3 linked regions of the Rattus norvegicus genome follow. The protein of the gene in region 2 binds, or shares a complex with, the protein of the main gene of each other region. Links are inferred from orthologs where the notes say so. Each region holds a gene or a part of one and is shown on either strand. Other genes may lie near its edges. The genes, in order: Sav1, Stk3 and Rassf5.

Evidence for each region.
Region 1: the proteins of Stk3 (region 2) and Sav1 are in contact, whole or in part, in a crystal structure (PDB 6AO5), measured with the Homo sapiens proteins. The link is inferred for Rattus norvegicus from reciprocal best matches to the Homo sapiens genes STK3 and SAV1. Residues at the interface, in NP_006272.2 of Homo sapiens: Trp429, Lys430, Val431, Pro432, Gln433, Gly435, Phe437, Phe439, Leu440, Lys441, Asn442, Leu443, Ser444, Leu445, Leu448, Gln449, Arg451, Leu452, Leu455, Asp456, Met458, Met459, Glu462, Ile463, Leu466, Arg467, Arg469, Tyr470, Ala472, Lys473; in NP_068590.1 of Homo sapiens: Tyr311, Ala312, Arg313, Ala314, Pro315, Asp319, Trp324, Glu325, Phe327, Gln328, Leu329, Leu332, Asp333, Gln336, Leu339, Lys340, Leu342, Phe343, Glu346, Leu347, Ile350, Val351, Met353, Tyr354, Ala356, Tyr357, Arg358, Ala360, Leu361, Leu362.
Region 3: the proteins of Stk3 (region 2) and Rassf5 are in contact, whole or in part, in a crystal structure (PDB 4LGD), measured with the Homo sapiens proteins. The link is inferred for Rattus norvegicus from reciprocal best matches to the Homo sapiens genes STK3 and RASSF5. Residues at the interface, in NP_006272.2 of Homo sapiens: Phe437, Phe439, Leu440, Leu445, Leu448, Gln449, Arg451, Leu452, Leu455, Asp456, Met458, Met459, Glu462, Ile463, Leu466, Arg467, Tyr470, Lys473, Arg474, Pro476, Ile477, Leu478, Ala480, Met481, Lys484, Gln488; in NP_872604.1 of Homo sapiens: Trp369, Asp370, Ala371, Phe372, Ile374, Leu377, Gln378, Phe380, Leu381, Leu384, Glu385, Glu387, Glu388, Lys391, Ile392, Val395, Gln396, Lys398, Tyr399, Phe402, Arg403, Lys405, Leu406, Ala409, Leu410, Ser413.

The regions. Positions count from the first base shown.
Region 1 is NC_086024.1:94,233,681-94,237,425, reverse strand, and holds the start of Sav1 (protein salvador homolog 1), read left to right. Parts: upstream 1-1,327; 5' UTR 1,328-1,498; coding exon 1,499-1,592; exon of another isoform or gene 1,593-1,947; intron 1,948-3,372; coding exon 3,373-3,745. UniProt on the Homo sapiens protein: Regulator of STK3/MST2 and STK4/MST1 in the Hippo signaling pathway which plays a pivotal role in organ size control and tumor suppression by restricting proliferation and promoting apoptosis.
Region 2 is NC_086025.1:68,205,872-68,209,616, forward strand, and holds the start of Stk3 (serine/threonine-protein kinase 3), read right to left. Parts: upstream 2,417-3,745; 5' UTR 2,337-2,416; coding exon 2,311-2,336; intron 1-2,310. UniProt on the Homo sapiens protein: Stress-activated, pro-apoptotic kinase which, following caspase-cleavage, enters the nucleus and induces chromatin condensation followed by internucleosomal DNA fragmentation.
Region 3 is NC_086031.1:45,192,675-45,196,305, forward strand, and holds part of Rassf5 (ras association domain-containing protein 5), read right to left. Parts: intron 2,450-3,631; coding exon 2,339-2,449; intron 1,522-2,338; coding exon 1,224-1,521; intron 738-1,223; coding exon 622-737; intron 1-621. UniProt on the Homo sapiens protein: Potential tumor suppressor. Seems to be involved in lymphocyte adhesion by linking RAP1A activation upon T-cell receptor or chemokine stimulation to integrin activation.

The sequences.
Region 1 (3,745 bases), on a different chromosome or scaffold from region 2:
AGGCCTCACTCCGGATACCTGCATGACAAGTTAATGCCAGCACCGCCTTCTTGCTGTCTTTGTTATCTGTCACCCCTTTCCAGAACTGTGAGATCTCACTTACTCATGCTTACCTCAGCACTATGTAACACACTGTGTCTTACGAGTCTTATTCTGTGTGATCTCTCTTCCCCATACCAGAAGGGCCTTTATGTCATACCCTGGACACCTAAAACAACACCTTGTATGTTGGATGCTCAATAAAATATTTGTTATAGAATCACAGGAACCTTTAACAAGGAAGCATTTCATGAAAACATGGAGACAGACAACTGATAAAATGTCTCCTTTGTGCGTGGCTAAAAAAAAAATATACTGAGCAGTTCTGGTGCCTTGTTATGAGGTTGGAGTTTTGCTTCTGTGCTCTAAACACATTCCTTTTCTTATGAAAGCCTTACTTTGGTCAAGAGGAGTGAGTCTCATCTTATTTTCCAAACACGAGTACCTGAGTGAGTTAAAGAGAACAAAGTAGCATCCAATGAATTAGATAGAAAACTCCCAGCTCTGAACTCTGGTGCTGAAAGGCCTCAAGATTCTAAGACTTAATTGCAAGAAAAAGCACGTGGTTATTAAGTATAAATATTAAAATGATGAGATAAATACATTAACGTCAAATTTATCTTAGGAGTTGTAGAAACTCCATCTTCTTTGTCTTTTTAATCCGAAAAAGCGGATGGGAGGAGGCATAAAAGGGGTGGGAGTACCAAGGGTTGGGAAGAGAGAAGAGGACAGAAGAAACGGATACTCGGTTTTTACGCTGTCACCAAAAGAGGCATACGCGTTACTAGGTGCCGCCCTGGCTGTGGTCCGGTCCCGCGTCCCCATCAACCCTGCACACCCGAGGGCCGCCTTCCCTCAGCAACCACTCGCGGCTGCGGCTGTGGGCAGTTCTGCCTCCAACAGGGCGGTCGACAAGTCCGAGGCGAGAGCGGCTCGCAGCCCAGTGGGCTCCCGACCGCCTGCACTCCGGCTCCTCAGCGGCGGGAGCGGGCCGGGGTAGCCGCGCTGAGGAGCCAGGGTGGTCGCCACACCCGGCCCGTTAGCCGCCGGTCGAGAGTCGCCGCACGCAGCCGCGTCCGCGCCCGGCGGGGGAGGGGCGGCCCGCGCGTCGACTTTCCCAGCATTCCCAGCGGCGCGGGGAAAGTTTACCGGACGTAGGCGGTGGCCGCAGCCGTAGCGGCTCCCGGCGGCGGACCATGGCCCTAGTGGGCGGCCGCGGCCCTGTCCCAAGGCGGCCTCGGGCGGCGGCGCTGAGCCGGCTGACTTCCCGGGAGGAGCTGCCCTGCGAGTGAGCGGCGGCGGGCGCGCTTAGCGCCGCCAACATGCGGCGGAGCCTGCGGGCGGGCGCGGGCGGCGGAGACCCGAGGCGAAGGCGGCGCCGGCCCGGGAGGCGGCGGCGGGCGGCGGGCTCGCGGCCCTAGCGAGGCTGCTGGGGCAGCGGCGGGCGACGTCCGCGAGGATGCTGTCCCGCAAGAAAACCAAAAACGAGGTGTCTAAGCCGGCCGAGGTTCAGGGCAAGTACGTGAAGAAGGAGACGTCGCCCCTGCTGCGGAGTGAGTGTCCAGGGCGGTGAAGGGTGGACCCAGCGCAGCCTCGGGTGGCTGGTGCTGGAAGACAGACTCTCGGGAATGCACTTGGAGAAAAAATGCTTCGACCCGGGCACCTTTCTGCTGGGTACATCGGGGCGTGCCCCGTGTTTGCTACCATCGCGGGTGCCACTCGCCTGTACCCTAAGTAGCACACAGACCAGACTGGATTCCTTAGTCCTGCAGCGGGACACAGACTTGTGAGGCGAAGAGACACTTGTAGCCACTACTACTAAAGTATTCGAATTAGGCTTTGCTCCTAAACTTCAAAAAAAAAAAAAAAAAAAAAGTACTCAGAATAATTTCAGCCATAGCAGGACAGGCAAGTTCCTAACTTTATCCCTCTTTGCAGCGTACGTTCCGTCCCCTCCTATAACTTTTCTTCTTCATTTAAAATATTTGTTTTTAACTCGAACGTCTTGATTTTCCTTTTTAAAATTCTTGGGTAGCCAAAATAGTTATGAGAAGGAGCTAATCCTTTGGTTCTCATTCTAGGAGCTGGGCCCCTTGTGTAAGTTTCCTTCTTGGAAGCTGGAAGTAACCGTGTGACTTAAATTAAGCCTTACCTCATATTGTAATTGGGAAAGCTATTCACAGTATTTGCCCAAGATCACGCAGAAAGGGGTGGAGAGCACATTTTTCCATTGTGACCATGTGTCAAACCTTACAGGTTCTCCTAGTAGTTGTAGCGCTGGACAACAAAGTTGGTGGGGTGGATGTGTCAGTAACTTGAAACCATTTTTACTAGCTTGTTTTTCTGTTCTTAGGTGATAGCTTGCTTTTTTTCGCTGCAAATAAAGTTCATTAAACATCGTTTGAAGTCATGCAACGTGTTGTCTTTTAGTGAATGGCTTGGTACAGAGTTTGTCATCGACTGTTAATCCAATACTAAATTATTGTAGTGTTAGCTTCTGACACACTTAGTAAATCGACTGTTAATCCAATACTAAGTTATTGTAGTGTTAGCTTCTGACACACTTAGTAATCTATTTAATGGATTCAGAAAATGTGCTCTATATCCAGAGTTCATGTTTAAAGGCAGTTGCTTTTTCTCTAAGAACGTCTAAGCTGTTGGCACATTCTGATTTCAGCAGCCCATTATCTTGTTTGGAGTTATCTGCTCTTAAAGGAACCATAACTTTTCCCAGGTTTTTTCAGTAGACTCAGCATTTGTGTGCATCTTTGGGATTAGATGACTTTATTTTTCAATTTCTACACTGAAAGGTTTTGCATTCTAGTTTTGATAATTGTGCTTAGAACTGGGCAATTCTGGGTAGAGAGACAAAACTATTAATAAAAAGTCTTTTACAAGAAATCTGACTTTGCTTTTTTTTTTTTTTTTTTTTTTTTGAGGAACACTTATTTTAATGAAACTGTTTGTGTGAGGAAAGAGGCTTGGTGATACTTAAATCAAGTGAAAACACCAAGCTGTGGCCATACGAGATGCTGGTGCTGGCATTGGTTTGTTAGATTATTTTCCTCTCAGTGGCATAGTATCATATTATATATGGCAATACGCAGCAGCCATTCATTTGTAGCTGAGTTTACACCTGCACATTAATGCAGATTATAAATGTATTTGCTTGGGGAAATAATCTTAATTTAAAGTTCTAGTATTGTCTTAAAATTTAAAATTTGTTTTCTTACACCCTTTTGTTTGCTATTTTTATCTCAGGGTAGTAGACATAAATAAATAACTTTAGAAGAGTGCACTGACTTAATGAAGTGTGCCTTTGTTTTATTGTAGATCTCATGCCTTCATTCATTCGGCACGGTCCAACAATTCCAAGACGGACTGACCTCTGTCTTCCAGAGTCAAGCGCTAGTGCTTTCTCAGCTTCTGGAGATGGCGTAGTTTCAAGAAACCAGAGTTTCCTGAGAACTCCAGTTCAAAGGACGCCTCATGAAGTAATGAGAAGAGAAAGCAACAGACTGTCCGCACCGTCTTCTTACCTTGTCAGGAGCCTAGCGGATGTCCCTCGGGAATACGGCTCATCACAGTCATTTTTAACAGAAGTTAATTTTGCTGTTGAAAATGGAGACTCTGGTTCCCGATATTTTTATTCAGATAACTTTTTTGATGGTCAGAGAAGGAGGCCACTTGGAGATCGTGCACAAGA
Region 2 (3,745 bases):
CATGCAGTACTGAACATGCTGTGAAGCTCTTCACGCAGTGCTTTACATGAGCCCATTTAATTCCCACGATACCGCTTACAGGTGAGGACACTTAAATTTAGAACTAGCATAGGAAGTGGCCAGCCAGGATTATTATTTCCAAAAGCGGGTACCAAAAGCAGGGTACGTAGCAACCTTTTCACATAAAAATGTTTCAGACAGACCATGCAGATGTGGGTGCATGGGTCTTCTATACAGCTTTGTACAAGCACACGGATAGATGCACAACAAAACCACCTAACGAGTCTCTCAGAACAAACGCCCCAACGTTAAGTCACAATGTGTAAATTTCATGGCAAACACTATGATTTCAAAAATGGTAGCTGTGCTTTATGACTAGATATCAAAGGGACTACGCAAAAATTCACTGTCAGTAACTCATATGCTTTGATTTAGCAAACTCATAGTATCTTCATCTATAAAATGAGATTTTATAATCTTTCTATAATCCAACCTACTGCATAGAGTTGTAGTGAGGATAATTACTAATTTGAAATGCTATAAAATAGAATGCTGAGATGCTAATATATAAAATATTAGCGGTCTACATCTTTTGTCCTGCATGCTGTTCTGACTTTACACAAGCAATGGCATGGGTTTACACACACACACACACACACACACACACACACACACACACATATCATGTGGGAGGCAGGGATACCAAATAAACAAAATGTAATTTTACAAAAACCCCTTCCTGCACAGGAACTATATCCTACTCCTAAGTATTCCTGAGTCAAAGGCAGACGCAGCTCTTAAACCCAGGAACTCAAGGCCAAACTGTACAACCTAAGAGGGGAAAAAACAAAAGAGCTAAAAGAATTACATTTCTTGCTTCAAATGAGTCTTTGGAGAAATGTAAAGTTAAAAATAAGTCTGTTTTATGTGCAAGCACGGCTTTATAAAGTATAAGTCACTATGGAATTGTCACCCACCACTTCTGATTGTCCAGGTTCACTGATGTCAAGTGCAGGCTTTTCTTACAGCTATAATGAAACTGATAGCTTACAGTACAGCCAACCTGCAAAGGTCTTTTATTTCAATTCAGTCATTCTAGTTGGCCTATGCCATGGTCTCAAAGGCCTTTATTGCCCTTCCAAAGCAGAAAGAAAAAAAAAAGGCTTCAGGTTTTCTTCTGTTACTGTGGGGGAGGGGAGTATCCAGGGTCTACCGGAGAACAGACAACATGCTAGAATCTATCAACTGACTTGCTTCCAGGTCCCAGAAGGATAGCCTGTCCCTTCTGGGAACCTGTCCACAACCTCCCTTTTTTGCATCTGAACAGATGGTTTCCAGAACCCAAGGCTCACATATCTAATCACACAATTCACAACCGTTCTTAAAGTGCCTGCCTTTTTAATTAGTCCACCTCGTGAGTCTAACACCTTACATCTAAAGACCTCTAGCTATCAGAGCACCTCAAGTCTTTAATCTTCACTACAGCACTCTCTTGGAGAACGTTTTGTAAATTAAAAATGAAAGAGTGAGGGTAAACGTTTTACCCAGCGCCAATTATTTTATTCATTCTTGGAGAACAGGGAGCAGACATTATGAACTTTTATCAATGGACATTTATTTAGTTTCCTAAGATCATTGAAATTATTAGTTTCAAACATACTGTACACATATGCATCCAATATGTCCATGATTAAACATATAGCATACCAAAGTACCACTATTTTTACATGTAAAACTATATGGGGGAGGGGTTCTAACTTAACATTCCTTCTGTCTTGTATCCAGAAATTCTTTAGAACTTGGGGGAGGGGGAAACACCTGTCACTGCAGCACATCCATAATGTTTTACATTCTGCGTGGCTATTAATATAGCTTACTCCTTAAACTGTAAATAAGCAATCCGTCTTCTCAGAGAGAATGCTTATATTAAGAATACGAGAAAGAGAGAGAGAGAGAGAGAGAGAGAGAGAGAGAGAGAGAGAGAGAGAGAGAGAGAGAGAGATGCATTGATGTCCTCATCTACAGGTTTCGTGCATTTGCTACTCAGACTCTCCTAGCCAACAGACCAGCGGGAAGACCAGCGATGGCTACTCAACTTGCGGCGCGCCAGGCCCGCAGGACGTCGGCACAGAGACTAGGCGTCCCCTCGGGGCCCCTGGCCTCGCAGAGGCGCGCGACCGACCCTTGGGCACCCGAACTGGGCTGCGCTCTGCGCCTAACAGGCGAGGACAGGGTCGCGGCAGGCTGGGCCTAGCCGCCCCCGCCCCGCGCCGCGGCTTCCGTCCTCATCCCGCTCCCGCTGTCGTTTACCTCTTGGGCGCCGGCGGCTGCTCCATGGCGGCCGGTGGCAGAAAGAGGGACCGAATGGACCGTGAAGGCCGTAGGAAGGAAAGGAGCCTGGGAGCAGCCGGCCGAACGCAAGGGACCACACCGGGAAACTCCCGAGAACTCGGACCAACTTTCCCGTAACTCCGCGGCGGATCTCCCTCCCGCTCCAGAACGCGGTTCCTCCCGGCCGCCCCGCCCCTGGGCCGTGGCCTGCAGCTCCGAGCCGGTGGGAAGAGCCGGGCGAAGCAAGGGTGGGCGGGGCGGAGCGCGGCCCGGGAGGGTGGCGGAGCGCAGCGGAGGAAGGTGGGCGGGGCGGAGTGCGGACTAGGGGGTGGGCGGGGCCAGGCGCTGGTGAGACTAGTGGAGAGAAGCCACCAAAAGGAGTGCCCAGCTCAGAAAGAAGATGCCATGCTACCAGAAGGAGACTTTTTGGCAGCCCAAGAACTACTCTGCTGGTGGAAGAGAGTTAGCTCACTTGAGATTTGATTCGTTGTTCTAGATTCCCCAAGAATACATGCCAATCATATTGTAAATCTGTTTGAAGTATAACTGCCCACACTTCCCTCTCTGGTCCTGTTTATAATTATCAGTTATTATTAGTTATGTTCCCCTATCCCCCAAGCCATTTGACATTTGTAACTATAGTAGTTGGGATACTTCTGGGAATTCCGGTTGATTTTGATTGTTTACAGGTATAATAATTACAGTCTAGCGACAGAAAATATTTACTGCAGTAATTTCTCAGTGCACAAATTTAGAGCACCAGAGGGTTGCTGGCTGTCCTGTTGGGTAACATGGGGAACCTACCACTAGTTATGGTGCTTGGGAAAAGATACAAAAGAAATTTATTTCCTTTTTCTTGGGTCCTGGACACTGCCCTAATCCCATTGTAACTTAACCCCTCACACATTCCTCTACTATTTAACCATAAAATACATACACACACCTTCTTACAGCTATAAAATGAGTTTGCTTATTTTTTTAGAATATTCTTAAATAAGGATTGGGCAAGGTTTTCTTAGAGGTTAGGTGAATGAAGTCAAAATGAGTATCAAACCAAACTGAATAACAGAAAGTCTTACACACATTCTGGTACCTGTTTCATCCACCCAGGACAATAGGAACAATAACAAAAAACTAAGCCATTGAAATGTCAATACTGGGACATGAGATAGTTCTGGAGGTAAAGGCACTTGCCACACAGTATTACAAATCCACAAGTGTAAAGAAAGAACGGACTTCACAAAGTTGTCCTTGGCCCTCCACACACACATGTGATGTGGCACCCTTGTCACATCTCTTGTGCACATGCGCACACTTCCACACATACACACACCATTCGTGCACGCACAGGCACAGTAAAGTCAGGTTTTTAAACATCAGTACTCAGTACTGGGAATCACCACAAAAACTCTGC
Region 3 (3,631 bases), on a different chromosome or scaffold from region 2:
AGTACCATGTGGAGTTATCCTGGTTTAAATGAGTGTGGAGCCCTATCTGCCCTCCTGATCCTCCAAAATTCGTTGCCAGCCCCCCCAACTCCTCCAAACAACAAAAGCAACCCTGCTCTGCACACTGATAAACTCTCAGACCCTCCTCTTCCAGTTACTCCTTGGAGACCACACCCACCTATTCTGGGCTTGGAGGATCTCTGCCCAATTTGACCCCATTTTTGCCAGGAGTCTAACACTGATTAGACCCCCTTGAAAAGGAAACCAGCATTTTAGGAGAAAAAGAAATGGTTAAGAAATGTCTATGTCCAGTAGAGCCGAGAGTTGGAGCTTGCAGGCCTTAGGGCAGAACTAGGTGGGGCCTGAACAGAGCTTCTCAGTGTGACCCCCACCCCTATACCAGCCCTATTTTCACAAAGCAGATGAAATCTGTCCCATGGCTTTTACCTTATGCAGGTTGTAACTTGCTTTCCTGTGATGTGCCACACTGATGATCCTGGGTTAAGCACTGAGCCTCTGGCAGTCCTGCAGCCCCACCTACACTCTGCAGTTAGGACAGCAGCACCTGTCTGGCTTCACCTAGCCAGCCAGGACTGGCTTTTGCAAAGGGTCCAGACATACCTCTACGTCTCCGGTTTCATTCTCCTTGAGCACAAAGCTGAGCACGTCGGTGTCAGGACCAGCGAGCAGACGAAGGTAGAGAGGGCAGTCAGCGATGGAGAGTTTCTGGAAGAGCACTGCAAACAGAAAGAAGGGCTGGGCGCTCATCTCAAAAGAGGACAGGATGGGGCCTGGGCTTGGAATGCACAGGTTGGGCAGACAAGGAAAGAGTCATGGTTCTTCTCATGGGTGTGGCCCTGGCAAGGCAGTGGTGGCTCAGAGCCCTCCATCCCCGTATGGCAAAGTTTAGCCCTGTTTCCATTGACAGCATCTTCCAAAGGAAGAGGAGCAGTGGGCAGACTCCCTCCCACTACAGGGATCAGGAGACCAGAGCCCAGGGTGTGTCTTTCCTGTATGGAGGACATGTGCATGGAGCTGGGCACAGTAGGCGTGGGCTGCCTGGTCCTGCCTAGATTTCATGTTGGCTCGCCCATGAATCCCAACACTACACAGATGGCTACAGACCTGCTGCCTGGAAGCCCACACTTCCCATCCAGGACAGACAGTGAAGTTTAGTGACCGTGGGCATTAGCAGACTGGGAAAGGGTTGGGAACTCCCATACCTTGTCCATCTTTGTGTATCCGCTTAAAAAGGGCAAACTTCTGTGGGTTGTCCACAACCATGAATTTCTTGAGCAGCCCCTGGATGACCTCACTGACAGTGGTGCTGCTGCTAATGTGTAGCTGCTTGATGGCGTCAAGTGGCAGGTAGAAGGATGTCCGCTTGTCTGTGGTAGCTGCAGGGTTCACTTCCTTAATGGCATCATAGATGGACTGGGGCCGAATCCCAGCAGGCACCGTCACTGGCCGGCGGAGTTTCAAATGCACTTTGATGAAACCTGTGTAGGTGCCATCTTCACTCTGCAAGGGGGAGGTACATCTTGCCTGATTCTGTCTGGCACTCTGGGTTGTGAACTACAGGAGACCTGACAGGCCACTTCAGCCAGCCTACCCGAGTTCCTTCCTGAGTCTCCTCTCTAGAGGAACTGGAGATAACCCACTCTTCTCATGGGCCAGGAGGTCTGGAGCCCAGTTACCAGAGAGGATTGGTGGGTTCGGGCTTCCCTCACAGGAAGTTTAGCCCAGCCACCCCGACCGTCTGCTAGATAGGTGCCAGTGGTCTTTGTTGGGTCTCACTCTAAAGGCAGAGTCTGTAGGCTCCTCTCTACCTCTCAACTTGGGAGATCCAGCCCAACTCTGGCCTGACTGGCATCTGCATTTTCTCAGGCTCTTGGGTAACTTGGAAGCACCGGAGAGCCAGTTGTTCTCAGTCACCAGCAGGGGGCAGGGCTCTCCTGGTGTCAGCCCTTAAAAACAACTCTGAATCTGTCAAGGTCAGGGGCACCATCTGAGCACTGTAAGCTTGACAGCCTGGGTCAAGGGCTTCCTGGGGCTCGAGCCCCCAGCCCCTCCATCAATGTCATTTAATTCCCCTAAGATCTCTTAGGCAGGGGCATGGAGATCTCTATTCTACACTGCAGTAAGGAGAGGCTAAACTTTCCCAAAGTAGCCAGAGAGTGACTGGGACAGAGGTTGTATCTGGAGCCTATGCTATTTCTCTGGGTCCCTGAGGCCACAGAAAGCTGGGCCTGAGCATAGAGTGAGCTGTAAAGGAGTCGCTGTTCCTGTGGAGAAGGGGCAGAAAGGATGCTGGGTAAGGATGACAAGCTCTACTTACCAACTTCATGCCCAGGCAGTGCTTCTCCCGGCTGTTATAGCTGTCAATCTTCTGCTTGATCTCCTGTATGGTGGGCGGGTGCTGTGTCTCCTCCACAGCCTTACAGACATTCTGAAACAGACAAGTGGCCATGAGTTCAGTGGTTCTCAGGATACAAAGGGCAGTGAGCACACCTCCCAAATGCTGCCTCTCTGGCTGAGAAATAAGTACCAGCATGAGCAGCAAAAGGCCAGTCACTCAAATCTCTCTCAGTCTCAGCTTCCTCACCTATGACATGGAAATAATACCTATCCCAGACTGGCTGAGAGACCAGTGCCACACCTGGGCACTGGCCATGAACGTGGTGAGTGGGTAGAACTCGTGATCGTGGTTTGGAATGGAAAAGGTGCTTACAGATAGCTATGAAGCCATGGTCTGCCCATCTCCAAGAAGTGCTGATAACACTGCAAAGGTGTGAGCACGTGCTGAAAGCTGATAGCAGCAGACAAGGGCATCTGCCTGCCAGTCAGCTCATGTCACTGGCCATGAAGGAACTGTTAGGGACAGGGGGCTAGTACCCCCTATTCTTGCGAGGTCAGCATTTGCTGGGGACCTCATCTATATATGAAGGACTAAGCTGTCTCTCCACATCTCACAGACCTCAACTTCCTGATTCCCAATGACACGTTACCCCCATTTTCCAGGGAGAACACTGGGACTTGGAGGCATTTACCAACTTGCCCAGGACCCTCATCCGCATGTGCAGAGCAAACCAGAAATCCCACATCTGTCCGGCTGCGTTCTCTCTGCATCACCGAGATTCGTTCTTACAGAGTTCCCTGCTTTACTCTGTGACCCCCCCCCCCCCAGGAAAATGGAAGGATGAACTTAATGTGGATGTCAGTATTCCTTGCAGTATGGGTTCTGAGATCCACACAGGTCTTTTTCACAGTCAGTTCTCTGGAGTTCTCTCATGTTCAGGGCCACTTCCCAGTTTGGTTTTCATGCTCCCCTGAGTGGCGTGGCGTATAGGAGCTGGTCAGTGAAAATTCTCCCAGAATTACCCCGACCTTAGAAATCCAGCAGACTTGGGCAGTCAGGAATCCTCTCTGGTACATAAGGCAGCAGGTGCCCAGAGAGGGATGACCTGACGCCATCTGACACCTGCTTGTGGGTTTGGTTGGGGGAATTTTACAACAGTTCCCCACATCACACTGGCATCACCACTGACTGAAGCACAGTGGGGCGCTCACCAACAGAACTCGCCCCTGACCTTTCCTTCCCTCCAGCCTGCCCATTTGCAGGACTTCAGCA